Oryzias latipes: one gene and its partners. The protein of the gene in region 2 binds, or shares a complex with, the protein of the main gene of each other region. Links are inferred from orthologs where the notes say so. Each region holds a gene or a part of one and is shown on either strand. Other genes may lie near its edges.

What was found.
Region 1: mybl1 (region 2) and e2f4 share a complex: the UniProt entries of both Homo sapiens proteins name them as parts of the DREAM complex. The link is inferred for Oryzias latipes from reciprocal best matches to the Homo sapiens genes MYBL1 and E2F4.
Region 3: mybl1 (region 2) and tfdp1 share a complex: the UniProt entries of both Homo sapiens proteins name them as parts of the DREAM complex. The link is inferred for Oryzias latipes from reciprocal best matches to the Homo sapiens genes MYBL1 and TFDP1.
Region 4: mybl1 (region 2) and lin54 share a complex: the UniProt entries of both Homo sapiens proteins name them as parts of the DREAM complex. The link is inferred for Oryzias latipes from reciprocal best matches to the Homo sapiens genes MYBL1 and LIN54.

Annotation. Positions count from the first base shown.
Region 1 is NC_019864.2:28,151,018-28,158,310, reverse strand, and holds the start of e2f4 (transcription factor E2F4), read left to right. Parts: upstream 1-2,063; 5' UTR 2,064-2,143; coding exon 2,144-2,308; intron 2,309-5,624; coding exon 5,625-5,734; intron 5,735-6,186; coding exon 6,187-6,348; intron 6,349-7,293. UniProt on the Homo sapiens protein: Transcription activator that binds DNA cooperatively with DP proteins through the E2 recognition site, 5'-TTTC[CG]CGC-3' found in the promoter region of a number of genes whose products are involved in cell cycle regulation or in DNA replication.
Region 2 is NC_019878.2:17,042,723-17,051,187, reverse strand, and holds the start of mybl1 (myb-related protein A), read right to left. Parts: upstream 4,718-8,465; 5' UTR 4,685-4,717; coding exon 4,613-4,684; intron 4,305-4,612; coding exon 4,228-4,304; intron 3,030-4,227; coding exon 2,930-3,029; intron 2,765-2,929; coding exon 2,693-2,764; intron 2,595-2,692; coding exon 2,502-2,594; intron 2,000-2,501; coding exon 1,779-1,999; intron 1,705-1,778; coding exon 1,512-1,704; intron 1,428-1,511; coding exon 1,353-1,427; intron 1,079-1,352; coding exon 971-1,078; intron 342-970; coding exon 108-341; intron 19-107; coding exon 1-18. UniProt on the Homo sapiens protein: Transcription factor that specifically recognizes the sequence 5'-YAAC[GT]G-3'.
Region 3 is NC_019879.2:10,684,281-10,691,561, forward strand, and holds the start of tfdp1 (transcription factor Dp-1), read right to left. Parts: upstream 5,231-7,281; 5' UTR 5,126-5,230; intron 5,012-5,125; 5' UTR 4,833-5,011; intron 2,651-4,832; exon of another isoform or gene 2,488-2,650; intron 1,513-2,487; exon of another isoform or gene 1,071-1,512; intron 603-1,070; 5' UTR 531-602; coding exon 519-530; intron 344-518; coding exon 277-343; intron 1-276. UniProt on the Homo sapiens protein: Can stimulate E2F-dependent transcription.
Region 4 is NC_019870.2:2,880,551-2,887,830, forward strand, and holds the start of lin54 (protein lin-54 homolog), read right to left. Parts: upstream 5,231-7,280; 5' UTR 5,099-5,230; intron 5,059-5,098; exon of another isoform or gene 4,808-5,058; intron 4,702-4,807; exon of another isoform or gene 4,280-4,701; intron 1,761-4,279; 5' UTR 1,734-1,760; coding exon 999-1,733; intron 1-998. Other genes in the region: cops4 (COP9 signalosome complex subunit 4), read left to right, coding at 6,675-6,748. UniProt on the Homo sapiens protein: Component of the DREAM complex, a multiprotein complex that can both act as a transcription activator or repressor depending on the context. In G0 phase, the complex binds to more than 800 promoters and is required for repression of E2F target genes.

The DNA.
Region 1 (7,293 bases), on a different chromosome or scaffold from region 2:
ACTGTGCGCGGTTTCTTATTTAAATGTTTGTCTTTGAATCTGATCAGTATAGCACTTTTTTGAATGTTAGGAACTATTATTATTTATCAGTTAAAACAGATTTATTGTGACAGAATAATATTATTTTACAGATTGTTGTGAACATTTCTTATGTAGTCTCCCTCTACAGATCATTTAGTCGTAGTTTTGTCACGATTGGGATCACTTAGTTTTGAATCTAAACATTCCTTGATTTAATAATAGTGTAAAATATTAACTTTTATAAAGCCTCACAATTAAAAAAAACTCCATCAAACTACGTAGAATTTGAGCATTATATATAATAGTATATAGTTGTGTGCTAAAGTCTTTAGCAGAAAAATATTGTAAACGAAGAAAGCTTTTTACAAATGAGAGTTGATAATTTATTTTCCTTTTTCAACAAAATTCAGTAAATAAACAAAAAGATTCTAATCAAATCAATATTTAATATCACTACTTTTGTTCCTTCAATCCTGCATCAATTCTGTTAGATACACTTCCACAAAATCAAAGATTTTTGTAGGAATACCTTCAGGTCCATCATCGAGAATTTATACCAAACAAATGCTAATGATCCCTAATGTCACACATAGATTGAAACCTGGTCAAGGACTGAGTCAGGAACAGCTGTGATGGACGCTTAAACCTGGGGAGAACAGCCAAACTCTGCAAGGTGAGGTTGTGAAAGACATGCACATTTCTAACATCTTGTAGTTAAATTAAAAAATTTTACTGCATCAAGTAACTTATAAACTTAAAGATATGTAGTTCAGGGTGTAGCGGTTCATTTTAACAACAAATCAATTTATATCATGATTTGCTGTTCCTGATACAATTAATAGCCAATATTGGTTCATTTTGAACGATCCAGTTCAATCACTGACCTAAAATCCAGCCAGGACATTTTTAGCCAAAACTTTTAAACCAGTGTGACTCTGGTACTCTGATACTTCTGGCAAGTGTAGAGTTGATGTGTACACATAAACAAGTAAACAAAAATTAAAAGAAAATCCATTCAAATTTTGGTTTCATAAAGTTGTAACACATGACCACATGTCTTTACACAATTCAAAGTGTTTCCACACATTGGACTGTAACATTCTTTTTTATTTTTTGGCTGCCACCACATATGTGTTGTCTGCTGTGATGCACTTGGTCGCTTTTATGTTACGGTAAAATAAACCTACCATGTCTCCAAATGCTATTTTCCAATCTTGACATTTTCGATTTATTTAATTTTGAAAAGATTTTATAATAGTTTGAATAGATAATAGATTAACAACTGCCCTAGAAAATATGTAGAAATATAAAATTGTTTCACTGATTAAGTCGATTAATCGTTACACCCCTATAATAACTTTTAAACTTAAATTATGTGGTAACATTTTTGTGGTTAAAAAAAATAAAGTCGTTAGGATGCAATACTGAACTCAAATAGTTAAATTCAAAATATTTAATTTACAAACCAATGTTTACACAGTACACTAATTCGCACTGCTTTGCAACCTTGAAAATGTTTCAGTCAATGACAATGTGGTTTGGAAGAAAAGCTTTAGAGGGGAAAATAATTTTCAAATATTCATTTGAAGAACGGTGCCTGCGTGTGCGCGCGTGGAAGTGCGTTTTCTTCAAGTTTAAGTTGCTAAGAGTTCGAGTTAAACTTTCTCCTCTACCAAAAATTCTTGCAACCAATACTTCCCCTAAAATCGCAATAGAAAAACTACTAACCGTCTTTTTTCATACTTTTTTCAATGTTACATTAAAAATAAATCACTAGAAATACATGTTCGTGCTAGCAAATGTATTTTTTACGTGGTTTTATTTTTTCATGAACATTTGCACACGGTCCCTAAAACGAAAGCACCGTCCCGTCATACCTCGCGTGGCCAACGGCTCTCCACCGACTGCTCCTTCATTGAATTTCCATACTCGCTGCTTCAGCTCGATTTTGCTCAGTTATTTTCAGAAAAGCAGCTAGTATTGACTCGTAAATTTGCACCACACCATCCACGCGTGTGTGTTTCGAACTGCGGCGGTGGAGCTTTCTTTCTTGGGCTCGCTGGCTGGATTTAGTCGGAAAGCAGGCAAGAGAAGAGGGGAAGTACGGAGCTGATCCGGAGCAATGATGGAGCTGGAGACGGCCAGTAACAGAGGCGACCCGGGAACCGTGGGAGACTCGCTGCAACCGCAGACGCCGAGCAGGCACGAGAAGAGCCTGGGCTTGCTCACGACGAAGTTCGTCACTTTATTACAAGAGGCGAAGGACGGAGTCCTGGATCTGAAAGCTGTGAGCTCTTTGTTGTTAGCTAGCACATGTCACTTTGAGCCAGCCCGCAGTCGTTAAGTTACATGGTATCTAGCTAGCATGCTAGCCTAGCTTAGCTGTGTGACAGGCTAATTTGAATGAAAGATAGCTTTGCCTTCTAAGTTTGTTGTTTTAGTTCACCACTTTTACAATTAAAATCACATTTAATATTTTATGGTGCAGATTTTTGCCTTTCTGAGTGAAGAAACGAAGTGAATTTCAAGAACACCGGTCAACTTTTTTCGACTCTCTGCCCCCCTGCAGATTCAAAGTTTAGAAAGTGGGTCAGCTTTTGTCATTCTACTCTCAGTTAAAGCCACTGCACCTTCACACTTGAGCAAGTTTGTTTTATGATTGATTGCGTCTTTGTCCACGAACGACATGCGTTTATAATGTTGCTTTTCAGAAATGACTCAAAGCGTGAAGTAGTACTCGCACAGATGTTGATTAAATTAGGCTAGCTTTGTTTTTCACAGTACAGGGGCCACATTTCCACATTTCCATCACTAGCTTTAATGCAGGAATGTTTACTATTGGGATTCTGCTAAAGTCCCACATTGTTTGATGTAAAAGCTCAAATAGTTTTCTACAAATACAAAAAAATATATAACGTTTGCACTTTTCATATTTTTACATTAGGGGTGTTACGATTTATTTGAACAATTTGATCCACTTTATAATTTGTGCTTCACGACATGATTTATAGTCCGGGACATCTTTAGCCAAAACATCAATCAGTGGGACTCAGAGATAAATAAATGGGTACTGAACAGTGTCACTTGTATTTCTTGTAAATGTAAATAAAATGGCTTAACAAACAAACAAGTAATTCCCATTTTAGTGTCAAAGTTCAGCCCACTTTTGCCATAGATAGGGTTGTTACGAATAATCAGTAAATCGATTTATATTGCTGCGATCCAACCAGATTGACCTGAAGCAAGTTGTTAATTGAGTCAACGTGTTTTATTATTATAAAATCCTTTCAAAATGAAATAAATCAATTATATGGATATAGGAAAACACCATTTGGATTGAGGTTCTGAAGGTTTATTTGACCATAACTGTAAAAATAACCGAGTGCATCACAGTAGACAACACGCATGTGACGGCAGCAAAGCATGACCAACCATCATTACGGCTCGATGTGTGGAAACATAATTTTTGACCATACAGTGTGGTCATATGTCGCAACTTGATGAAACCAAAAATGTGAATGGATTTGACTAGGGCTGCACGATATAATGAGGAAAACTCGCGGTATGCGATATTAGTGATAAACATTGCGATGAGGATATAACTTGCGATACATGAACAAATAGCAAAACGATCAAAACCATAATTTCCATTTCACTGCAACAGTTTTAATTTAAATAAGAGTTGCCCCTCGTCTACATAGGAGGCCAACATAAAAGAGCTCCATCCCATTGGTCAACCACGTGAAAGGCTCCATCTGATTGGTCAAATGTTTAAATGAATTTATTTGATTCATTAAATACTTCAAGCTGCTATGAGATTGTTTTAGCACTCTTAAGGTTACGATTTATTGCAATTTTTGCAGACTTTTGCATGATATATCATATCATGATAACGATAAATTAGTGATTTATTGTGTCTAGATTTGCCATTCATTCTTGTTTGTGTGTTTGTACACTTATTTAATTTACGCTTGGTTATTTTGCAAGGAATCTGGAAAACCTCCGCTGTGCTGTTCAGTACCAGGTATTTCTCTCTGAGTCCCACTGATTGATGTTTTGGCTAAAAATGTCCTGGATCTATTTTAGGTCAGTGAATCGGATCGTTCAAAATGAACAAATATCTACTATAAATCGTATTGTCAACCACAAATTATTATATTAACCGAATTGTTCAAAAGGATCAATACACCCTAAAAAATGTAACATTCTTAGAACATTCTAGCCCACTGGATGGGACCATGTCTTTGCTAAATTCAAAGTTTTTCCACAAACTGGACTGGAATGACGGTTGATCAGTTTTTGCTGATATCACTTGTGTGTTGTCTGCTGTGATGGTCGATTTTACATTATAGTAAATAAACCTAACGTGCCTCAATCCAAATGGTATTTTCCAATATAACTAATTTATTACATTTTGAAAGGATTTTTTTTTAATGGTATAGGTCGCTTGGATCAGCAACTTGCCTCAGACAGATTTATTTGGTTGGATCGTAGTAATATAAATCAATTTATCAAATAAGTGGATTGATTGTTTCCCCCCTAATGTACATATTTTTCTATAACAGTCATAGAAGAGAGACACTTGAGTCTAAAATCATTTAAATTACAACACACTGATTCTGTTTTGTTATTTTCTTAACTGTCATTTTGACCATTCAGGCATTACATTATGTATGAAGAGTTCTGCTTCTTCTCTTTTTGAGTCTGTCTTCCTGATCATTTCCTTCTTGTGTGACTGGGTTGATATAGTGTCTGCTGATACTCTAAGCTGCGCTGCACCTCGCAGATAAAACACTCCACGCACGTGCACACATTTTTTTTCTTTTTCTTTCCAACTGACTTCACTTTGCAACCCTTTTTGCTAAGTTTAGACGTATCAGCACTTTCCACAATGTTGCCGTGTAAATCACCAAGAAGCCGGGCCGGTTACAGGACTGGGGATCCGGCCAAAACATTTAACCAATTTGAGTAACATTCACAAATTTAAGACTCGATTTTCAGGTTAATCAAGTCCTTTCAAAGCTTGAGTTCTTTGGTTTAGAATAATAATAATAGTAATAATAATAATAATAATAATGGATTGGATTTATCAAAACAATTTATATCTAAAAAACAAAAAATGGAACTTTTATTAATAATTAGATTAAAACGTAACAAATAGCGGCATATTTCCAGTATTAAAAAAAAAAATTCAGTCATATTTATCTGGGCATTTGATACCCAGATGATGATAAAGATCAACGGGATTCATTACCTTTTGTTTGTTGTTGTTAAACCGGTACAAGCTGGTTGGTAAATGTTCCGTTCTTTTGGGGCATTATTGTTGTACTACACACATCATTCATTTCTTTATCAGTCTGAAGGAATCAAGCAGCAATCACATTAATAAAATGGTTTCATTGGAGTTCACATACGCTTTAAAAAGAGCAGAAAGAATGTCATTGTTTGGTGTTTGTAAAAAGATTGAACATGTTTTATGGTCAGAGGAATTGTATGTATTACTTATATGAAACATCCCACTGATGGGTGGAACAGACTGTTGGAATAATTTCTCTTTTGAAATCTTTTTCTTGTATGGTAAAAGTGTTTCTCCTGTTGTTCAGGCTGCAGATACCTTAGCTGTGCGACAGAAACGGCGGATCTATGACATCACCAACGTGCTGGAAGGTATTGGTCTAATAGAGAAGAAATCCAAGAACAGTATCCAGTGGAAGTGAGTGCATTTTCATCTTTTGCGGAGTTTCTTTTTGTTTGTTTTTTTAATTGCAGAACACTCCTGAGTGTAAGCTGCAGCCCTGGCCAAACTATGCTAAAAATAAGAGACTTATACTCCAAATAATACAGTACTAAAACAGATTTGTATGTACTTTCCCTTGGAGCTGAATCGCAGCTGTCAGTTCTGCTCTGGACCACTCATTACCATAACAAGTCACAGGTTTTGGATCAGGTTTGGTCTCAGTCTGGAAGAGGAGTCTTCTGCCAAACCCCTGTGTCCGCTGGAAGCGGTGATCCGGCATGAGAACCTCCATCAGAGTCTGGCCTCTCACCTGTGCAGCAGCATCTGTCTTCTTTCCAGACTAGAAACGGAGGACAGCAATTTATCTCTGCTTGTGTTTGAATGTGACTGTTCTCTGCCTGGCTGAAAGCAACCCGCTTGTGTTTCAGGGGTGTCGGTCCGGGCTGCAACACCAGAGAAATCGCTGATAAGCTGATTGATCTGAAGGCGGAGCTGGATGACCTGGCTCTCAGGGAACATGAACTGGACCAGCAGCGCGTCTGGGTCCAACAGAGCATCAAAAATGTCACAGATGACTCCAACAACAGCCCATATCCTTGAATAGAAGCCATTTATATATATTTACTCATACCTGCTTTGGTATTTTTTGAAGGGAGAAGCACTTGTAATATTTAATTATGTGTTTGTTAATAGAGTCAAGTAAATCTTCTGGTCTCACTCTCCAAAATTATTTCCAGATGAGAAAAAACTAAAACCTCTGATGACTAAAGGACATTTGATGGTCAATAAAATTGTTTTTATTGTGTTTGCCTTAAAAAATGCAGACTTTACCATTCTGCACATGTCATAAAGACTTCAGCTACATTTTTTAGGAGACCTTTAAGTGGTTTAGATGCTCAAACGTTTCATTAAAGCCTAAACAGCGTTAAATTGTGACATTTCTAGTGCACAAAGTTAAGATAAAATTGGAGTCGGTGAAACCTAAACTGCTCATAAGCGGTAATAATTTATATTAGTCCCTTCATGTTTGAAGAATCTGTAGCGTGAGGCTCTATCTGAAATCTGTGGATATTATTAATGTAATCTGATTACATCAATGATGTAATTAAACAAAATTATGATTTTAGGATTGGATAAAAAATATTCACTTATAATTGAGAGATTAAAGTCCCACTCGGGTCATGTTTTGATCTATTTTCAAAGCGTTTCCAGTGGTCTTTTAGTTATGATGATGCTGTTTTTAGGCGTTCTCTATCATATAGTTTCTGCAGAGCGGCATGCGTTCATTAAAAATTCACCTCTTAAGTTGTGGGCGGGACCATTGGCGCAGAGAAACACCGCCCCTCCTTCTCTCCTCGTTTCGTGGGCGGAGCAGGGAGCTTGTGGCCCGCCCAGCGTGTTTTCTGTGTCACAAATATGATCTTTTTCACAACGATTTGAACAAACAAATACCCAGAACTTCAATTTAAAGCTTCATTTGCTTTAAATATGTTCCCATCAACAGAAGAGAATGTTAAAAACACAGTTTTCATTGG
Region 2 (8,465 bases):
GCTCCATGTGACAGCGTCCTGCAGAGCAAAACACAGTTACTGTAGAGCTTTCATAAATTCAAGGCACGGTGTGTAGATTCTGTCAGTTTTCCTCTTCTGTAACTCACTGTATCGATTAGCTCCATGGTTTCTGCAAACTCTGGGAAGGTTTGGAGGTTGGAGAGCACGGCGCCGGCCTCAGCAGCCAGAAACTTGCTGGGGGAGATAGGAAGATGTGCTTGAGGACCCGGTGGGATTTCAGGGCCCCTCCAGGATCCTTCTTCCAATCGCTCATCCAGACTGCTGTTGCTAGATGCTAAATTGTCTTCTGGTAAACTGCCTGACCAGGCTGGGTATGGCTTCTGAGGACAGGAGAAACAAGAACAACCCATGTTTGGTTGAAAGAGCAAAATAAATCCACACTGTTGTCATACTTGAAACTGCAACACTTGGGTGATTCTACACAAACACAGGAAAAACCACTAACTGCGAAGATGGAACTCGTGATGTATTTGCAATGAATGAAGGGTGGAAAAGGAGACAGTGGGGTCAGAATAAAAACAAAAACCAGACAAATAAAAGGCCAAAGCCAAGTTGCTTGCCGACAGATTATGGTGTGAAGATGGAGAAGAAGGAGGAATGGGAGCGGCTTTTCATCAAACCACATTATCTGCAGAAAGGAGTGCAGCTTCAGCCCATTCTGGGTAAGCAGTGAGATGGGGAAAGGAGTTACTATAGCAACACTACAGCAAATCAGGCTACAGGTTTTCACACATGGGTACCACTCTCGTTTTGAAGTGCATACACTGCAAAAAGAGCATTTTTGTCATCAGGATAGTGATATATTAACAAAAAAAAATAATTTAAAAACTATTTTAAAAATTGAATGCCTTGTTTAGATTAGGAATGCCTTTTTACAGTGTATGCAAGCTACAAACACGCAGACTAAGCTGACTAACGATGCCAACACACATCTGAAGTGTGTTCTTACACATAAACCTCTGCACTGCACTTGTCGTTGAACTTCACTCTCTGCTGACATAAGCAGCAGCTCAAGCTCCTTTATTCTCTGTTCCCTGTGAGGATCATCAAGGCAGGACTGGAATACACAAACGTCAGGAAAGAGCGGTTGAGGGGAAAAAGAAGAGAGGCACAAGTTATGGTAGTTAACAAAATAATCAGAAAAACACACACAAAGACACAACAAAATTGACAATTAATATTTTTCTGTTAGCTGAACATGACAGGACAGTCAAGTATTTGATTTGCTTGATTTGTCCAGAGTTAGCAATCACAAGTACAACTGCAGAGAGAAAGAATAGAACATAAAGCGTTCCGTTCTAGCGTGCAAAGGCAAAGAAACACAGACTCACAGATGGGAAGGCTGGATTTTCAGGAAGACTGTTAACTGTCTGTTCACTTTCAGGATCAAACTGATAGTCTGCAACCTGAAAAACGGAGAACTGAAAAGGTAAAACAGAACAGAAAAGCAGATTCTAGAAAAATGACGAGAAGACTAAAAATCCACGGACCAGGTTGGATCCTGCAGGAGCCACAGGGCTGCAATCGTGCTGCTGGAGTTTTGTAGTAGATGTAGGGCATTGCCTGTTTAGGCGCTTCTTCACAGTAGAAGTGAAAGTCTTGTAGCTGTCTTGGAGGTAACCCTCATGCTCCACCTTTCTTCTCATGGTAGAATTCCAGTGGTTCTTGATAGAGTTATCTGTGCTGTTAACAAGAGGAGGTTTTTTAGGCAAACTGCTTGCTTTAAAACCAAACATGCAACAGTAGTTTCAGATTACCGTCCAGGGAGAAGCTTGGAGATCTCTGCCCAACGGTTGCCAAGGCGTTTGTGAGCTTCGTAGATGATCCGGTCCTCCTCCTGTGTCCATGAGGACTTCTTCACTTCTGGGTTCAGGTGGTTGTGCCATCGCTCACGGCACTGTTTTCCAATCCTTCCCTGGAGGTGCTTTGCAATCACTGACCAGCGCTTCGGCCCATATTTGCGCACCAAATCGATAACCTGAACAAATCAAATTAAAAGTAGCTTAGAGCAAATTGACTTGTGATCCTTAATCTTAATGATAATAATAATGCATTGGTTAAAAAGCATAGAGAACAGCAGCAGCAGAACTTGTTGAAACGTTTTTCTCAGAGCAGAAAAATGTTGTGAAGTCATAGTTGGCTGACTGCACTTCTATTTATAAAGTATGATGTCAGAAATATAAAGCATGAAGACGGACAAACTAAGCTACAGTTGAGGAGTGTAATGCTCATACAAACACACATTCAACTCTAAAACTACAGAATGTCTGTTTTGGTGTATTACACACACAAACTAATAGAAAAAGAACGAGGATAAAGTTAGCACATTTGCAAAACCATGTTAGATTGAAGCTAAAAGTTGCATTGCTTTTTGTGTCACCCGTGTTTCCTCCTGTACCCTCCCCAGGGTTTTCTTCTTTCCCCCTATCATTTTTCTCCTCAGTCATCTGTCCAAAAGAGACACTCCCAGCTCTTCTTACCTTTTGATCTTCTTCTTTTGTCCAGGGTCCTTTCACCAGCTCTGGATTGAGCACCTTCTGCCAGCGGTGCTGACACTGACCATCTGTCCGCCCCTGAGTCACAGGAACACAGAGTGCAACACTTCATCCCACCGCAGGACCGGCTACAACCGTTCTTGATGGAACCGTAACCAGGTGGACTCAATACTTACAGGGAAAAAAGTAGCTACTAGTTTCCATGCCTCAGTTCCGTGTTGCTCCACGAGTTTTTTCAGCTTTTCATCCTTTAATTATGAGTTTAAAAAGAAAAAACTGATAATTCCACGCTTTCAGCAAACATTTTCACAGTGTGCTTTCATTTAGCAGGTGCATAAATAAAAAATATGGTTAGAAATGTCTTCCAAAGATGCATAAGTTTCACCTTTTTTTGGTTTCTATAATAAACATACCTCTTCTCGTGACCACTTTATTTTGCCCAGTCTTTTTTTATCATTGCTTTTTTCTTTACTCTCTGGATCTGTGGACACCAGCTCTTCATCCTCATCAGTACTGAAAACACAACAGGAAAAGGGGAAAAGAACCATAATCATGTTATTATTCTCTGTTCTAATACCTATTGTTTCCTCCTAACCCATTCTTAACATGTAGACCTAAATATGAAAAGTAGCTGTGAAAGTTAACAACTTTAGCTAAAAGAAAATTTATCATAAGCAACAACAAAAAAAATGTTTTACTTCCATTTGGAGTTTTGAAATTTATAAACCAAAACCTGGCAGCAGGAAAAGATCATTGGAGGATGGATTAGGGTTAACCTTAACCTTGATAAACATCTTAATGAAATTAGGCCTACCAATTAAAGGTTCATAAATAATTTAAACATATCATGGGAAAAGCAAATGTGCAAGTATTTCCTAAAATTCAATATTGAATAAGTTATTTTCTTAACACATAAGAACCCAGATCTATTTTCCTTGAAAGAAAATGATGCAATATTTAATGTTTTGCTGTTACAGTGAGGTAGTTCTACAAAACAGAACTAACACATGTTCTAAAGAGCTGAAACGTGCCACCCACAAATATACTAAGCAGTTGTTTTCCGTCTTTTTAGTGTCAGAAAGTCCATGAATGTCTGTTCTTTACTGTGCAAACGTGTCATTATAAACCTAAGTCTGGCCAAACTTCTTCACTGGGGCGACTGTGTGTAAAAACAGAAGGGAGGGGTGTAAGGTGACAAGCGGAAAGGGGCAATCTCACATCAACAGACTCTTTCACTAGCAAAGTGCATTAGTGTGTGTGTTTTTAGGTGTGATGATGTGGCCGCAAAAGCCCACATACATATTTTTTTTCATTGAATTCAATTGAATAGCAATAAAAACTCAATGAAAAATTAATTTGCATGATATAGAAATGCATTTAGAACTACAGTATAACCTTTATGTCGCACGTGAAGGTTACCGAAATTAATTAAATTAAAATTAAATTTAAAAAGTGAAAAGAAAATGTAATATTTTGGCATAACACTACATGTGAATTAACTATATTTTTTATCTTAAAATATGCCGCCATAATAGTGTCAGTGTTGTTACAGAAACTTTTTTATTAGACTGTAATCGTTTATTTTTATAAACAAACGCTAAAATGTTAAATAATGTCAGTATATTCATTTATTTTTAATTTCTATTAAGTATAGAAACAGGAGAAAGGTAGTCGACGAGCTTTGTGACGTTTGAGTATTAATCAGTCTTACCTGCGTGATTTCACTTTGTCCATAACAGCCGACAGCAGAACCGAAAGTTCTCGAAGACAACCCTGTGTTTGGCAGTTCTGTGGAATAATCGCGCGTGAACAGGTGTCTCTCCATAAAACTGCTTTTTGGTCATGAACGACGTCTTCTGAGATGCGGCGACTTGGCGTTTCGGCTAACCAGCTAGCTAACTCCACGCAGAAGAACTCATAACATTACCCAGAACAGGCAGCTGTCCATGAAGATATCATCTCTAATGAAACGCAAACCAACGGTCGCTCTTTATCATATGGGCGCCTCTTACAGATCACGTTTGAAACGCTAGAAACCAATAGTATGCCGACGGGTGTAAATAAAATTCTTGAATAAATTGTCACTGCTACCGCACCTTCCGCTCATAATGTGGGGCTTCTGTACGTCTGCATGGCGTTATAGAGTTGGGTTGGTTTTTTTTGTCCATCCCGCCGATTCTGGCGCTCAGCTCTCTGCGCAGGCGGCTTCGTTCCTGATTGGTCAGAATTAGGGCCGTGTAACACGAGGACTGATACTCAAAACTGATTGGTCCAAATGAGGACGACGAATCTACGGCTGAATGGTCTAAAAGTCCGCAAGGTTTTTTTCAGTGGTCAACGTTCTAAAAGGCGGGTGCTTAAGGTGACAGTGACAGAATAAGCATATTCGGTGTGGGAACACAGTTTACACAACTTCTAGTGATGATAAATATGGTCTGCATTGATGTAATAATAATAATAATAATAATAATAATAATAATAATAATAATAATAATAATAATAATAATAATAATGAGTTTCCACAAATATACCTGAAACCAAATTGCTTGAAACAATTTGGCTTACGGTTTATAATTAAAACATAAATATGAATAAAACATGAAAAACTGTTACATCCATTACATCTCTTCAAGCTGACATTCAGTCTAAACACGTCATCTTACTGCCACCTTGTGGACACAACGTCCATCTGCAGTTGTGTGATGGTTTCCATCACACAACTGCATTTTTTCCCACATTAAAAAAGGTTTTCCTATTCACACCCTGATCTTTATCCTAAAAATTTGCAGAAATATCAAAAAACAGAGGGGAAAAAAGTCTAAACTTCTAGGAGTGGTTTGTCTTTGGGTGACACGTGTAGTGTTAAATTAACCCGTTTTTATTACAAACTAATATATGGAGGGAAAAGCTGATATTAGAAAATGGTGATGTTTACTTAAAAGCCTGTAGATGACTGTTTCACTTGTTGATGCAAGAGTGTTGTCATTGTAAAAAAAAATGCACGGAGCCGGAAGTTGATTACCTTACAAAAATAAGAGCACAAGAAACTTTTGAACTTAGAATGAATAAATGTGTCCGTCACTTTGATTCCAAAATCTACTAAACAACTTAGAACTCTACAATTATTATAAACCTATTTTAGTCAAACATATGCTATTAATTTAAATGACAATGTTATCTTTTAGCAGGATATTGATTTTTAGTTTTAGGATCCAGGTATTATTGAGAGGGAAGAGATAATGTGTTCAAGCTGCATGTTGCAAAAAAATTAAAGATTAAATAAATTATTTATTTGATACAGAGATTGTGACAAGGAAAACAAATTTAACAGGTGGCCAAAAATAATCTCAAATACACGAGAAACATATCCAACCACATCTCCAAAAACTACATGTTAAAACCAGTCTGTGTGGGTTAATCCGGTTAGTTATAGATAAATAAATTTTTTTTGTAATGCACTATGGCTACAGTTTGCAAACCTATTTACACATGGTTTGAAAGAATCTGGAGGTAAACAAGATGGCACAGGTATTTAAACTTAAATTTTGTAATGAAGGTCAGATATGGTCCTGGAAAGTCTCAGGCACATTTCAAGTCTTCATCTAAAAAAAATCTCTGTGAACATCTGAGATTCTAATTTTTTGTGAACAAAGAAATGTGTAAAAGCTTTAGTTTTAGCTAGAACACGTATTAGTTTGTGGATTTATTAAATTAAATTATCTTGTATTTGTTAGTAATCTTTACATTAATACCAATTACAAGTTTGTAATTTCAAAGTGTTGGGTGCTGTTGGTATTTGTTGACATCATTAATTGCTTTCTCTATTAGGACTTACACTCAAATGTTACACTTGTTAAAAACTCATTGAATAATTATTTGATTTAGGCATACCTATTTTTAAATTGAGGTTTATAGTTTGTGAAATATATGTAAACTGTATTATTATTATTATTTACGGTGGCCCAGAAGGGTCACAACACAACACAATAACTTACCTCACAATATTTTTGTAATGAATAAGCAATCTGATTAAGGTGATCACTATTAAATAATAAGGTGTTTTGTGAAACATTTTCCTCCAATATTGTTGTATTGGTGTAAACATTGTCGAGCATCAGTTAGAAGCAATAGTTTGTATTTAAGTCGGATACTCTTGCAGAAACCAGCATGTTTTATTCAATGTGAACAGTATTTCCACCGCTCATCTGATCATATCAAAGGTAAATTGGGACGTTTCGTTTTATTTTGAAAATCTGTATCGGAAGTCCACATCGCCGGGGATGTGCGGTGGATGCAGACTTTGTGGTCCCGTGACAAATTCATTGGAACTTTCTATGGTAAGGAAAGACCGATGTTTCCTGCTTTTGTCGTGTGTCAGCGACGAGACTACAGCGATCAGGTGGAGAACTTTCCCAACGTTCGGTCTGACGGGGACCGGATGAGGATGGCTGGAATGACGGTTAAATAACCCAAACGAAAACCACCCTCACCGGAGCCGCGAAAATTATTGATGGCTGGCATTGGCAGAATCAAAATACAGTAAGGTACGTGATGTTCACCTTAACGGCTACCTTTGTCAGTGATTGCTGGCGTCCCGCCGGCTAGCTAATTTGTAGCAACAAGAGGTGTATTTCAAAATAGAACCCCAACTGTTGTCAATTATTCTAAGATAACTCGCCGTGATTTATTTACGAAACTTTCTCGACGTTGAGAGAATTTGGCGTTTAAAAAAACTGCATTAAAAGTAAGGGAAGCTAGTTAGCTTATTTAGAAACGCCAATTGTTTACGTTAATGTAGTGTATAGTTTTCACGTGTGTGCTTGTTATGGTAGTGATAGATCTATTTACTACTATTATTTACCGTTTGAGGCCCCTCCTTCCTCTTCAAGATCGTTTTTCCCTACTTTAATTGTGTCACGTGACCCTTTTTTTTCTTTTTAAAATTGTGCCCTTGGCGCTGCCCACACAGTTTGGGTTGGGAATCCCTGTAAATTTAGTAGACTGTTCTAAAAAAGTAAAGGAGAAGGCTGCATGTAAGGACTGTGTTTGGGTCTGTTCTAATGAGTCAGCACCTTGGGTTTCGGTTCATCTGTGAAATAGTGACCTTTGCGGTCTATTTTTTGTTATTTTTTCTGCTTTTTAAAGCACATCTTTACTGATAATAGACGTGTGTTTTTTTTAGGGACTTCCTTGTTTTCTGGTGGGATGTGGAAGTTTTTAGTGACTTAGTCCTCCTAGTTCCACAGGTGGTTTGGTGTCAATAAGCTTTCATAAAATGCCAACAACGTCCTGCTTATTTTAAGCCTGAAGGATTAATTCACACTTGGCAGCGTTTCTTATATTCCATGTGGTCCGTCTCAGTCCAGCTGTGAACCTTCTCAGGATAAATTAAACAATTTTAATACCAACTAAAATGTTTGCTTGGCTAAATACAAACTAATGTCCTATCTAAAACTAAATAGAGAATGATGTTGAGCTGAAAAACTACCACTGAGACACAAAATGAAAGGGAAAAGAAATGCTGCTAAGGAGTGGACATTCCAACATTTTTTCTAAATGAATAATTCCAACCAAAGCTTCTGCAAGAGTCTCACATTGCAATAGTAGTCAAACTTGCTAAAAAAATAAAAATAAAAAGTAAGTTGTCATTTGTGCAGAACCTGATGGACAGTTTTCAATAGGGAAGTCTGTGTGTTTATGTCAGTTTGTTTGGTCTGGATCACTTCAGGTTAGAGAACGGATTTGGTTAAAAGCTGAGGTCAGCTGCTCTCATCCTGGTTGACTGAGTTCGTGCTGATCAGACTTTTAAATTCCCACACCAATGAAAATCGTGTTTTTTAACATGTCCTTGTAACATTTGATGATGGAGGACATATATAAAGAAAATTAAGTTTAAAACAGCATTTCTGAGTATTTCTTTATCCAAATCGTGGTGAAAAAATACAGTTT
Region 3 (7,281 bases), on a different chromosome or scaffold from region 2:
AGGAGGCAGATTTCTGATCAACTGTGGCTCTGCAAACACTATTACCTAGAAAATGACAGATTTTGAGGATTTGGGCTAAAGAAAGCATAATCATAAGTAAATGGCCACGGGGATTACTTTGAAAACAGATTTAAAGGCGATTGGAGCGATCTTTTGGAAATACCCAATGAAGTATCACGAATCGGACTAGGACTTTATCCACACATTAAGTGTTTTTGAACACATTTATTTTTAAGTGTATGCATATTATAACTAGTAAAAAAAAAAAAAACACACCTTTACTGGGGCTCAAATTCTGATCAATGAAAACCTTCAGTTCTCCATTCGTTTCAATCAGACCAGCCTGAAAAACATAAATCAATGTTAAAACACTCAAGAACATGAAAGTTATTATTACAAATTTTAGGCAAGACTCAAGTACATATGAGCAACAACAGTTGCAGCAAGTGCTTTTCTTTTACACCTACTAAGTTGCATTTAAACTGCAGTCATTTCCATCCATGCTTTTAGTAACTTACATCTTTAGCCATGATCCAAAAGGACCGGGACAGGTATTGTTTCAAGTTAGCAAGACCTTCCTCTGCCAGGCACTATTCAAACTCCTGTAGACAAAAGGGGGGAAATGAAGTTACACGTATTTCTGTTTGAACCTAAGAAATGTTTTGGCCAATTATTTAGGCTCAGCTCAGCTATAATTTACGCTATTTGGGGTTAAATTCATGTCTTAAACAGGGCCCATTTAAGTTGCTGGACCAGAGCACACTGTGTGGAAAGCTAACCACATCACTATGTTAGCTACTCTCCTCCTCCACTACAACAAAGCTAACAGAATTATGAAGCACTTTGTACGAATCGAAACTTCCAGAAACTTTCAAGCCCGTTGGGTTTCGGACTGTGTGCGCAGAAAACCATAAAAAGTCATCCCTGGATGCTCCCAACTTTTACAGCGCTAAGTGTGCCCGAGGCCTACTTCAGGTACCAAGCACGTCCGGAGGAGAGGCATCGTCCAACTTCTGCTACAGGTCACACAAACACCCGAACTTTCCCCCAACCGGACCGGAACTGCTCACCGGGCTTCTCTAGCACCACAGTGTGAATTCAGAGAAGACCCCCGTGCTGGAAAACCAGTAGGTTCGCGACTAATGATGCCAGCAATTAACTCTTGGTGAATGCAGCTAGCGCCCCAATGCTAACAGCTAGCGATGGGTCCAGCTAGCCTGCTAGTTAGCTCCTGCACGTTTCTACACGATTCACATTTAACTCACGGATTAATCCCTCCGTGGTGCAAATTATTTCAACATCTAAAAAGGATTTAACGCCCTTTAAGTGAATGCGCGTTTCACACGGTGGGTTCGTGAATAATATAACAGACCTGTGCACTTACGAGTGCACTCTCTTTTCTCTTCGAGGATTGTTGTTATTGGCATTTGAGAATGGAGGAAGAGGAGGTCTAAATCCTGATTAAACAGGAAACAAAATAAGCGATGTCGAGTTACTTTCGAATTATATTTAAGATTACTTTAGGTTCTAAGTATTGTTTTCAACGTGGGTCTATGGCTCTTAAGTCAACTATAAATTAATGTCCTCATTTTTTTTGGCGCAATCGTGGTTTATGATGCCAAGGTTTGTCAGTTGCTTGACTGTGGCAGCTGTGCCCTTGTTTCTGACAACCCTTCATTCATCAGGCAAAGTTGAAACTAGACACAAGTGAAATACTTCATAAAAATCTGTCACAACAGAACAGTATATAAATAATATTTGAGTTTCAGCTTGTAATCCATTCTAAAGCAAAGATGTATTTCTGTTGTGGCATTAATATGCAATACGTACTAGAGTAAACAGTGTGACTAGAAAATTCATTTTATTTTTTAAATGAGTTAAAAGTAGGATGTTACGCTACTTTTAAAAAGTTAGCATTGTGTCAAACTTTTCAAGTGGATAAACAAACAATCCTAACTAATCAATAAGGAGCTTTCCTCCGAAGTGAGTTAAGCAAAACAACAACAAAGTTTAATTGTATTGAATGTTTTAAATTAATACAATGAGTAAAATTAATAACAGTTGAGTAAAAATGTAGTTTCCCCTGAAGCCTAAACGTACACTGAGGACTACAATGAATACGCGAATACACAAATAAACAACACTGGAGTTTGATCCAAAACGACAAAAGTACCCTGAACATCGACGGAACCGAATAAAGTTTGTACTTCATTCGGCACTCTGATAGCTATTAAGGGGTAATTTTCTCCTATTTGTGATTGCTGTTGATATTCGACGCTTTTGTTAGCTAGAAGGCTAGCGGACATGCTAACCCCCAGCTGTCATCTACACTTTCAGTATGAGGTGCACGTTCGTCGGGGTTAGCTCCGTGTTTCTTAGCAGTGTGTTTTCGTGACATTTATTACGCCAAACCTTTTTAAAACATGTGCACAAAACTGAAAGTTCTTACTTGAGGCGCCGAGCCACAATTCAATAAATGCAGCTTACCGGTGCGCCTTCAAGTTAGCAGTTCGTTACCTGGCCTTTTCACTCCCTTTCAGCTAGCCGTTCAGCGGAGCAGCGACTCTAACAATCTGATCTTGGCGGTGTCTCACTTTAGCGGCGTCTGATTGGACAGCAGGAACGAGACGAAACCATTGAATGTTACTACAGTCAATGGACGAAACCAAGTGGAGTAGGGGTTCAAAATCTCTTGGGGTTGTTGAACACTATCCAACTTCAGGAAAACACGTAGCGCCATCTGCTGGACTGGAATGACATGAAACTACAAGCATGACTAGTTATTGGATTCTTATTTTACTGGATTTAATTATCCTTTTAATTATTTAAGTATGTGAATGAAAGGCATCTAAAGTAAAACTCTCCCTCATATAACCTAAAAAAAATAAGACGAGCCTTGCATTACAAAACTCTGTTTATTCTGTCTTGCTATGGTTTGTTCTTCTATATTTGTTTTCTGGCTGCAATTACTGGATTATTTTTGCTGCTTTACTGTGTTAAGCAATCTTTTGTAATGCTCAACCATTCATCAATAAAAATAAATAAATAGAAAAAGGTTAACTCATGGCACTTCTGAACCCTTAATTTTTTGCAATTTGAACAATGAAACTTTGGAACATAAACTTTTATGAACACATACATAGGTTTTCTGGATAAACATTAGACGTTAAATTAGACGTCAAATTAAGTTTACATTCCCCCTATATGTGCTATAGTTGGATTGACTAGATAATTCATTGACAAATACTATTAATATTATTTTATTACTCAATAAATATCACGCTCATTGAAATAAATGGAGAAGCAGCAAACCCTCCTTGTCATGTTGTAAATAAATGAATTCAAAATATATTACCGATCATTAAAACTTCCAAAAAGAATCAATCCACAAATATCTGCTTGTTATTTTTTTTAGTTTCCTTGTATAATTTTTTTGTCTCCATTTTACAATCCTATGTGAGAGATTGTACATTACAGTGTGTTGTTGATTTATTCAATAAAAAAAAAAATTGGCACTTCAGAAAGTAACAAAGACCTTTGAAAGATGACAGCTGAAATGCATAGTTTGAAAATTAGTAAACATTAATGTATGTGTTTGTGCATGTGTGAATGTATGTGTACCTGTATGATTGTGTATATATATAAATTATATGTATTCAGAAGTAAATCAATTGAATGTTTTTTTTTGTTTGTTTGTTTTTTTGATGGGCTTCGACAAGCAGAATGCTTCAGCCCAGACTCCTTGGGTTAATAAAGATTACCGGTGTTGTTTAAATTAATTACACCAATTATTATTTTTCATTCCCAGGTGTTAACGATAAACCAGGAGGACACATAATTGAAAAAAGGTGAGGACTGTTACAGTTTACTTTTTTTTTTTTTTTTGTCTGACTCCAAATCCCAGCACTCACCTTTGGCATTTATTGCATTAGGCGTGATAATAAAGGCATTCTATTCTATTCTATTCTATATCTACAAACACTGCCAAGTTAAGAATTTAATGCAGTCATAATTAATTTGATAGTTTTCTATCTGCAGTGGTGTGTCTATTTGGCATAGTTCTCTCCAACTGCATTTTTGGAGGTTTGGTGTCGGAATTTTTGTCCTATAATCAAAGTAAATTCCTAGCTGGTGAAGAGTTTAGCAATGCTGAGTTTATTGGGTGATACAGAAAATAGTGCTTTCTTTAAACTCTGTTGCGAGCTGAACATTTATAACTATGTCTTAGGCCATCTTGTTATAGTAATTTCATGTTACAGCCTACATAGCGACATGGTCAGAAGTCAAACATTTTCACTAGAAAATAAAATAAAATCATGAGCAATGACAGAAATTTTCTTAGTGGTGTAGTTTCCATCATCAAAGACATCTTTTTTCAAAGAATGTTTGCTAGATTTTAGTTGATGATCTATCATCTTCTTCTTAATGTTCCAGTTCCTCTTGAAAAAGTAAAAACATGTTATTTTTGTGATTGTTTTAAATAATTGAAAATGTTCTTCTCTAAAATATATAAGGGGGTAAGACCCACAGCATGCAGGTCACTAAGCAACAAGATTTAGGAATTTGGCATTTTATTACAATGAAAAGCAATGTGTTTCTTTGTTTATTTCTTTTTTTTTACTCCATTGTTCATTCTTTTTTGACACACACACACACAGACACACATGATGCGTTTACTGTATACGAACATTAACATGATGTGTTTCAAGAACTACTGAAACACATCTCAAATAAATCTTCTGCATTGGGGCAGAAGCGGGACATGAAGTCACCTGTGCTGATGTGATCCACGCTGGTCTCCAGAGCCAACAGGATCAGCTTGAAACACCTACCAATGTATTTCTTTGAGGTCCTGAGACAGCACACATCTCCCTGAAGGTTCTGGGGGACTCCTTCCTGTCTGCAGGCGATGTGAAGGCAGGCGGATGCGATGGCGACGTTGGCGCGCCCCTTCAAGCTCTTCTGCTCACAAAATTGGTGGAATAAGTTGTTGGTTTTGTCTGCGATGTTCCTAGGGAAGTTTACAAAAATGTTCATTTAAATACATGAAAAAAATGTTAAATGTCTGAAGGACTCGAACAAATAGGTAGAAAAACAAAAAAAGAAAGTTTTTAGTAAACATTACATTCTATTAAACATCTTGAAATTGCCACGAATTGGTGTTACACTGTTACAGTTCATTACAGAGGAGCTTCATTCTGCATCTTGCGCATCAAACAAACTGCGGCAGCATGGAGTAAAGAAAGCTGCACATTCACAGATAGGTTATCAAGGGCTCACTGTGTGCTGAGTTATTAAAACTTGTTTATGGGTGGACTCATTTCTTTATAAGATAAAACCGAGCTTGGTTCTTCGTCTGCTGAACTCAGATAATTCTGTTTTCTCGTGAAAGAATCTCTAACATACTAAATAGTCCATAAATAGCTTTAGCCCTCACTGTACACCTAAAAATAAGTTATATTGTGTTATATTATATTTAGTAATATTATATTATATTAGTAATATTATAATAGCTGATGAAATTATTTTTATGAATGGATTGAATGGATGAAAAAGAACATTTTGTTGAATATTCATATCTATTTGATACTGTTGTGATCTAATATTTTGTGCTAATTCTTCGCTTGTTGAGAGTTTTTAGAGGTTCCAAAGTTAGAACTTGTTGGTCATTCTTTGGTTATCAGGCTTCTGTCCTCTAGCTCCAGTTACCACTTAAAGTTTGGTGTCAGACAAACCTTTTTTATCTTTATCATTAGGCTAAAACTGTTCTGTTTGATAAAGATGGTGAAGCTCTGTGTAGTCACACAGGCTCATTTTAAAACACACAAAACAGTTTCATAAATATTTTTGAAAATGTTCTTTTAAATGACTTACATTCCTGGTTTGGCACTTTTGTTTCTCTTCTCTTCTGTCCTTTCAGAATAACACCTGAAGATGGGTGATTGACCTTCACTGGTTCTGCTGGAATGTCCCCAAATTAAACAGAAGCCCTTTTTTCTTGTGTTATCAGCTAATCCTTGTATAATCAAAATAGGAGAAAAGCAAACGACAGGGAGTGTGAACTAGACTTGTGAATAATACCTTTCTACTTGGCTCTCAGCATTAAAGATAATATTAATAATAATATTTTAATAATAATTAAAATAATAATTATAATATAAAATAATAATTATAATAATAATTTAATAATAATGTTTTGTTGTTTTGTTTTTTTTTGCATTTCTTTCGTAGACGACTGACATGTTTTTTATTCTTGTTAACATCCTAGGCACTTTAACGTTGGGAGTTGGGTCAAGCAGACCCACTTGACAGTGTGTTGAACCTTTTTCCTTCAATGATTTGTGATCTTCACTGGTGTCCATGGATTACATGAAATCTTTCCACCTTTATCCACCTTTGTCATAGTAGGGAGAACACGTCAATGTAAGGGGGGTGGGGGGTCATCTAAGATAGCACAAGGGTTAGAGGTAAATTGGGTTCTGGACAGACTGGATGGTGAACATTGCTCGTGCAGAAGCCGCAGCTGCTCTTCTTCGGAATCCTCCGATTGCTGCTCAGCAACTTCTTCTGCGCGTGCGCATTCGGAGCAACAGTCGGGCTACCAACCTGGTCAAACAGCGGGTGTAAAAATGGTAGGTAACCAAAATAAACACAAACCCGTGCAGTGGCTTTCGTGCCATTTCTGTTTTCTATTAACAATATTACTATAAGACTGCACTACATCACGGGCTACGTTTAGGTTAGCCTACACGCCTTAGTTTCTTATAATCGCTGCTGTTACCGAAGGTCAGTAGATATTTTGAGAGCAGCTAGCATTAGCCACACTCCCTTTTTTGGCAGTCAGCTAACTTCGACTGTGACTGGGTCAGCCGCTGGACCTTCATCATGATGGACACGCATAAACCCCTAACATAGCCTTGAGCTCACTGACATTGTCCTCTGTTCATGATTTCATTAATGTCATTACCTTCGGGCTAACTCGGCTAACATTAGCCAGTGTAACTTACTAGCTCTGTGGGTATGTTGATGCTAACCCAACGTTACCTTTCTGGTTGCACAATAATCCTTACTGCATGGATAGTAGCACTCCATTGGGAATTATTTCAGGTTTTTTTGCGGATTTATTAAAAATGAAAGATGGATAAATGAAGTAATTCTCGGAGTTTCCCGATGAGTCCGAAATGTTGTAAAAGCTCAGATGCTGCAGGCAGGCAGCTGGTTGGAGGACATGCTGACAGTTGAATGGAGGCTTTTTAAAAGTAAAACTTTTGACTTATTGTA
Region 4 (7,280 bases), on a different chromosome or scaffold from region 2:
TCATCTGATCCCATATTTTAAATAAAGTTTGACTTAGTTTGAATTTTTCCTCATTTTTACACACATTTAAAAAGCGATGCTTCACTCCTGAGCTTCACCGCACGTCTCTGATGTTTGACGGAAGATTCAAGGCCATCGGCGATGACCTGAAGACTGATCTGACGCAGAGCAGAAAACCAACCAGGCCTTAAAAAAACGGGAATCTGGATCGTCTCCAAACTGGAGGATGTGATCTGGATCGTTTTAGACTAAAGAGTTTCAACAAAAAATACTGCAATTACAACAGTGCAAACTATTTGATTGCTGCAAAGATTCAAGATATTTTAGCCAGGTTTAAAGTTGTTTTAACTAAAACTTCCCGAGCTCTGCGGAAAAAAAAAAATCTACACAGGTGAGAATTTTTTGCCTCGTATGGATCTAGAAATAAGGAAATTATTATTTAAATGAGTCCAAATAATTTTTATTTAAACTCAACTTCAAAAAAATTAAATAAAATGTATCAAAATTTATTAAGACAACTTGTTTTAAGATTCTCCTTTTGTTCTAAAATGAGTAATTTCTACTTATTACAGTTTTATTTTGTCACTGTAATGAAAATACAATTCGGTTCATTAAAACTGAAAATAAACCATTTACTTAAAACTGGCAAAGAAATACTGCTTTCAATAAATACAAGAAAAACCGTCACCTGGACTGTTCAGTACCTGATGTTTCTCTCTGAGTCACACTGGTTAAGCTTTTGGCTAAAGAGGTCCTGGATCGACGTTTGTTCAGTCAGTTCAAAATGAACCAATATTGACTGGGAATCGCATCGCAACCACTAATTATGATGTGTATCAATTTGCTTTTAAAAATGCATTGTTATACCTCTAATTTTTTTATATACATTCTTCATCATGACTAAAATGCCACAAGGACAAGAGTGGGTCTTGAGGTTCTCACAGTCCTGCTAATGGGAGTTCAAAGGTCACAGTAGCAGCCTCTGCGCTCAGGGTTACCTGTATAGTCTTGAGCTGCTGGGTTTGCACTGCGGTTACTTGGTTGCCTCCACTCCCCACCACTGGCTTCAGTTCTGACCCCCCAGCAATCGTGACCACTTTAAACTGCGGAGCCGGGGCCTTGCCGTCTCCTGAGGCCTGGACCACGCCGGGTTTGCTGGCCGCATGCGGCAGCTGCAGCACTATCGGCTGTCCTGACTTCCCTATGGTCGTGACCAGCAGCTTCTGTCCTTCTTGCTTGATGACCTGCGGCGGCGGCCCCGCAGACTTTGCAGCCTCCGCAGCTTGAGACGAGGCCACCTTGTTGAGGATGATCTGATGGTTGACGGAGGAAATGGTGAAGGGAGCGGTGAGCTTCTGTAAGCCGCCCGTGGACATGCTCGTCCCGGTCACGCTGTCCGTGGTTTTGGTGGGGGCCGTGGAGGTGGCCAGGCCCGGTTTGAGGGTGACCAGGCGCGACGGGCCGCTGGAAATGAGGATGGAGGAATGTCTGCTGGGGCTGAGCGTGGAGTCCGTAGGCGTTAGCTGGGTTTGGGAGTTACCCGTCGGCGCCGCGTCTTCGGAGACGCTGGGAGTTTGCGGGACGTCCGTTTCCATGGGAACTGTGGAGTCGTAGCAGGGCTCCGCCTGGACCGCGGCGCTGTCGGGCTGAGAGTGAGGCGCCTCCTCCATGGCCTCCGTGTCCATGATCTCATCAGGAAGGAGGCTGTTCAACTCGGGTGACACCACGTCCATGTTTGCAGCGTCTCCGCTCTGTCAATCCTGGAGAAACAAAAAAAAAAATGACAATGCTGAAAAATAGAAGAAAAAATATATATACACATCCATTTCAGAACCTGCTTAATCCTTTAAGGTCACGGGGGTTACATACATAAGCCACCCCAGCTACTGTTGGGTGAACACCACACACATGCATTCCCAACTAGAGGCAATTTAGAGATACAAATGAACCTCTGTAGCATGTTTTTGGAGTGTGGGAGGAAGCCAGAGTGCCCAGAGAAAACCCACAATGCACAGGGAGAACATGCAAACTCCCCACAAAAAGGATCCAAACTAAAGTCTCCTGACTGAGTTGAGAGGGTCAACCACCGCACCACCTGGGAATATCCTTTTACTTTTTTTTTTACTGTGTGTGAACGTTTGTGTGTGGTGCTGTGATGGACTGCAACCCCAATGTCTGCACAGGGTGAGAGTAAAGGTGGATAGATGGATGGATGCTGACAGATTTAGTCTTTTCCTCAGACTGTGAAAGGTGCTCTACACATAAAACTTTGCCTTTTACTGACAAAAACGCATCAATTTAGAGAATCTCAACAAACTGACTGCAAGAACAGACTATAAGAAAAGTAAACACAGCTAGCAGAGGTGTGGAGGTAGCCACACATAACATGGCCTGATTCTCCATGAGATTTGAACTAAACGTTTTCTTAGAGAAACTTCGTTGGCGAGGGGAGGGGGTTCGGAAAATGTTACAATAAAATACAACAAATTCTGTCAAAGAGGGAACGTTTAAGTACATTTGAGCAGAGATCACAGAAATGAGATTGTTTTTTTTATGGATTAAAAAAAAAAATAAGACAATCAGAAGTACAAAAACAATATGTCATTTAAAAAACAACAACATTTTGATCCAAGACTCCGTGTATTTCTGTTTTCTGCAGTATGGATCGTATCTCCAGTTCTGCAGACTCTGTGGTCTCAGCCTCCATAGTTTGCTTAATTTAGTCAAAATTCACCTGTGCATTAGTCGAAGCATCTCTGCAAATCTGCGTTACTCTTTACTGAGAGAGAGAGAAAAAACCCACGACCCACATTCCTCTCTGTCAAGTCACACATGTAGGAAATGCATCTTTCTTAAAGTGGCTGCACCGACCGCTAAATTTAAATCTCCAAGCTAGCAAAGTTAACAAAAAACAAAACGTATTTGGAAAGTTTGTTTTGGCAGGAAAGATCCAGAGAGGAAACAGAAAACTGCATTTAACAGACATAAACCAGGAGTCTTTACTCCAAATGTGGATTATTGTAACCCCCCCCCATAAACACAAACACACACACTAATAACAACAACAATATTCAGCAAAAGGCTGTCTAATGTTACGAGGACGCTGCTAATAAAGTTGTTCAAATGTTAAATTTACATTTATGTTTAGAAAATATCAGTTTCAGTGACTAAAGGTCAGACGAAGCTGAAGTTGGCGTCTTCCACTTCGACAGTTATTGGTTCAGGGAAAATCTATTTCACATTTTAATGATTCCTTCAGGAAATTCTGTTTTTACAGAGGATGAAGATAAACTTTACCCTAAAAAATAAAACAAAGCTGGGAGGTAAAAGAAAATCTGACAGCCACTTCAGCCGCAAACAAGCCTGAAAAATGTTGGGGACCAGAATGGAGAGGAGAAAGAAATCCCACAATTCAGTGTCGTCACAACATTGAAAACAAAACAATAGACACCCAACAATAAAAGTCCAACTCCAATCATCTTCTGATCTATTCTCAAAGTGTTCCCAGTGGTCTTGTACTTATGATTCTGCCGTATTTAGCCAATAATCCAAAAACTACTGTCATTTCCTAGGACATAGTTCCTGCAGAGCAACAGGAGTTAATCAGAAAATCACCTCAGAGTTGGGGACTGAACCACTGGTGGGGGGGGGGGGGGGGGGGGTGTGTTAAGCCTGCTTTGACTTCCCATCATCCCTTTGTTTACACTCTCTCTCCTTCTGGCTTACAGCCCCTCACACCCCCCAACCGAACATTGCCAGTGCAACAAGAACGATGAGCAATATTGGAGCAATCCAGCCGTACAATTCTCAGCCAGTAGTTGTAGTTTTTTTAAAGGTTGAGTCCATCACCGTAATAAAGATTGCGTGATAAATGCAAATGGAAAGATCTCCTTTTATTTCTTTTTTTAAATCCTCTCTGGTGTTTCTCAACGGAGACACCCCAAACCCCACCAAGTCACGCCTCTGGTGCAGGAGTCCCGGGATGTGCACATCAGCTGGTTGTGACAGAGGCTGACAGCTGATGGTCTGTTAGGCCGCAGCGGTCCTGTGCATGGCCAACTCAACGCAAGCGCGCGAACCCTCCCCGAACCTCCCCCCACGTCCACCTGAACTCCTCCCCTCCTCCTCCCCCGCGAGGAGGCGGGCCCAAACCCGCTTTCAGTCAGAACCAGAGGGAGGGGGTCTAACCGAGGACATGAAGCAACGGGGGGGAAAGCGTCTACGGTCTGCGTTACTATTTCAGGCCGGCGTTGGATTTCGAAAGATCCGCCATTTTTACCTCGTCATCAACTCGGTTAGCTGCCCTGCTAGCGCAGAAAAACTGACAAAAGGTTCCGTTGAAAGCGGACACGCCAGCCGCCGGAGACACCAAACGGAGAAGATTCACGGTGAAGCACAAAGGCATTCCCCCGAGCTCGAGGGCAGACCCGGGAAATCCGGGGCACGCGCACAAACACCCGGAGCGGACTCTGTGACAGTGTAAACAATGCTAGCTTCCCACAATTCCTCCTGTCAGTTTGGATTTCTCTCGGACTGCAACACCTAGAACTCAGATGAACTACTTTTCCACAAAAACGTTGGTTGTTTTCACATGTTTAAATTTGTTTCCGGTGGTTAATAAATGTCCCCTTTTTTATTTTTGAAAAAAAAAAAGCTTAGAGTTTAAAAATGTAATTAAATTGATTGTAACGTAGGCTTTAAAGATAACTGAAAAAACTACTAAGATCACTAATTTCAGTTCAATTAAAAAACAACGAAATAGTGGCTTAACACCCCAAACCAGTTGTGTTTTTTGTTGTTGTTTTACCTTCATTAGCAAGCAGTTAACAGCGTATTTCTGCCCCAGCGCACGAAAGTTTTTTTGTTTTATTTCATTAAAAAAAAGCGGAAAACGTCAGTGAAAACCCGGTTCCTCATCGGCGGCTTCATCTTCATCCAGCAGGCAGGACAACTCTCCTAGCGAAGTTGCTGAGCTGGCTAACCCCAGCTAGCTAGCACAACATTATACCTCAACATTGAACAGCTTCCTAAGTGCGCGGCTTTCTAGTGCAAACGGTGCGGTAAAGTTCACAAGGCGGTAACAGGTAATCGTGCTTACCCGGGATTTAAACGCTGGGTAGCGTTTCCAGTTAAAGCGAGGAAAGGTAAAAGCGATTGTTCAAAATACCGCGCCGAGCGCCATTCCTCCCTGACATTTCACAGGCCGGCCACGCCCTCCTCGCGTGACACCACCGTGACGTAACTCTTAAAGGGACAGGCCCCCTCATTCATCTGTCCTGAAATTTTATTCAGAATAATTTCAGAAAAAATGTAATGTTTTTGATAATCAGCTGTTTTTTTCAGAAAATGTCAAATTCACAATTGTAAGTGGTCTAATTATCAACCTTTTTTTTAAATTTATTTCATCTGGACTTTAAATTATATTACAGTACTACAGAACACGTGAAATCCGAAAAACTGCAAGATTTTTTTTAATATATTGTATTTGATTTTATGACTTATTTTATCTTGAATTTTTTTGTATTTAATATTACAGACCCACTCCGATGAAACTTGTTTTTTTAAGCATGTTCTTGTGGCATTTTTTCTGATTAAGGAGGACAATTAAGCTCAAAATTGCATTTTTGTGTATTTCTTTATTCATTTTGGCGTGAGTCAGGGGCAGGTTAAAAACCTGCAGTTTGAAAAAGATCACATTTGTGACGTCAACTTTATGCTGGCCACAAGTTCCCTGCTCTATTCCCAGCAGATGTCTTTGTTTTCCTCATCTGAGCTGGTATCTGGATCAAAACTGTACAGCTGGATAGCTCCAATGTTGCTCACCATTGTCATTGCCCCCTTTAATATTAGGTTGGGGGTGTGAGGGGCTGTAATATAGTGGGAGAGGAGGCAAAAAGAGAGCTCTCAGTTATTGGTGACAGGAAGGAGGGTTGCTCAACTTCCTTTGTCTCACCCACAACTTAGAGGCAAATTTCTAATCATCTAATGGGGGGAAAAAATCTGTTAATATTTTTAAATACAAGTGTTAATAATAAAAGTTTTATTTATTTAACCCACACTTTTAGGTATCTAGAAATGTAAAGAAATATGTAAAATGAACATAAATAGAGGATTTCCTGCAAAAATGCACATATAAATGCTGAGACACTTAAAGTTAGGAAAAAAGCTTCACTGACGGTTGAAAAAGGAAACAAAACTTTGTAACAATTTAGTTTAGATCATTTGATGAAATGAAACAGACCTCATAATAGAGTTTAATAACTTCAATTAAAAAAAACTCTGGCAATAATTTAAAAACACTGCTGCAATTTAAAAAGCCATTAGATGAAAGATTAATGCTAATTACATAATTTATTTATTTTTAAACTTAAGTATTGACATCAAACAAGCCAAAAGAAATGTGTTAAAAATGATAAACAACAACTTCAAAACCAATTATTTTTTAGTTTATCGTCTATATGGGAAGACTAAAAAAATATCTACAAGTTTGTATTTTTTCTAAAAACATCTGTTCAAAATTGTTCAAAATATTACAAAATTAAAAAGGTAACTTTTATTAAAACAAAAAAATTATTTGTACGTGCGCGCTTCCGCGGCCGTTTACGTATCGGGAGCGCGCCTGTCTCAGCTCCGAAGGACGCCGGTGTTGTTGACGCGCCTCCACACTGGCAGGAATGGCGGCCGAAGTGAGGCAGGAGCTCGCGCAGCTCATGAACTCCAGTGGATCTCACAAAGATCTGGCGACCAAGTACGTAGCGTGGACTCCGGGGGTAAAGAGATGCGATCAAAACAGCGGGACGTGTTTGCTTTAACGCCGTAAAAACCGTCCATCAGCAGCGGGAAAGCAAACGAGAGGCGCCAGCTAAGCTAGCTTAGCCGTGTAGCTGTCATCTTAACCGTTGAACTTTATGAAAAATATTCATTATTTAAGGATTTGGATTCGCCTTTTTGAATTAATAACAAGCGATACAATGTCGCGAATGTTTCTTTTAGTTTGTCACGAAATTCGGCTCATTTTAGGAGCAAGAAGAAGATGTAGTTTAACTTAACTGCTATGTTCTGATCATGAAATACATTTCTTCTTCACAGATTTAACTTTTAAACAATTCATATGTTGTTAAAATAACATTGAGGCCTGTATTACTAAGGCACATGCAGCAAAAACGCGGAAGGTGAATAATTCAGAGCTTTTCGATCCAGAGTATTCATTTAATCCCTTTTTTATGATATTAATTTACTAAAAACAGCAACAACAACAAAAAACCGTTGTGATTCATCCA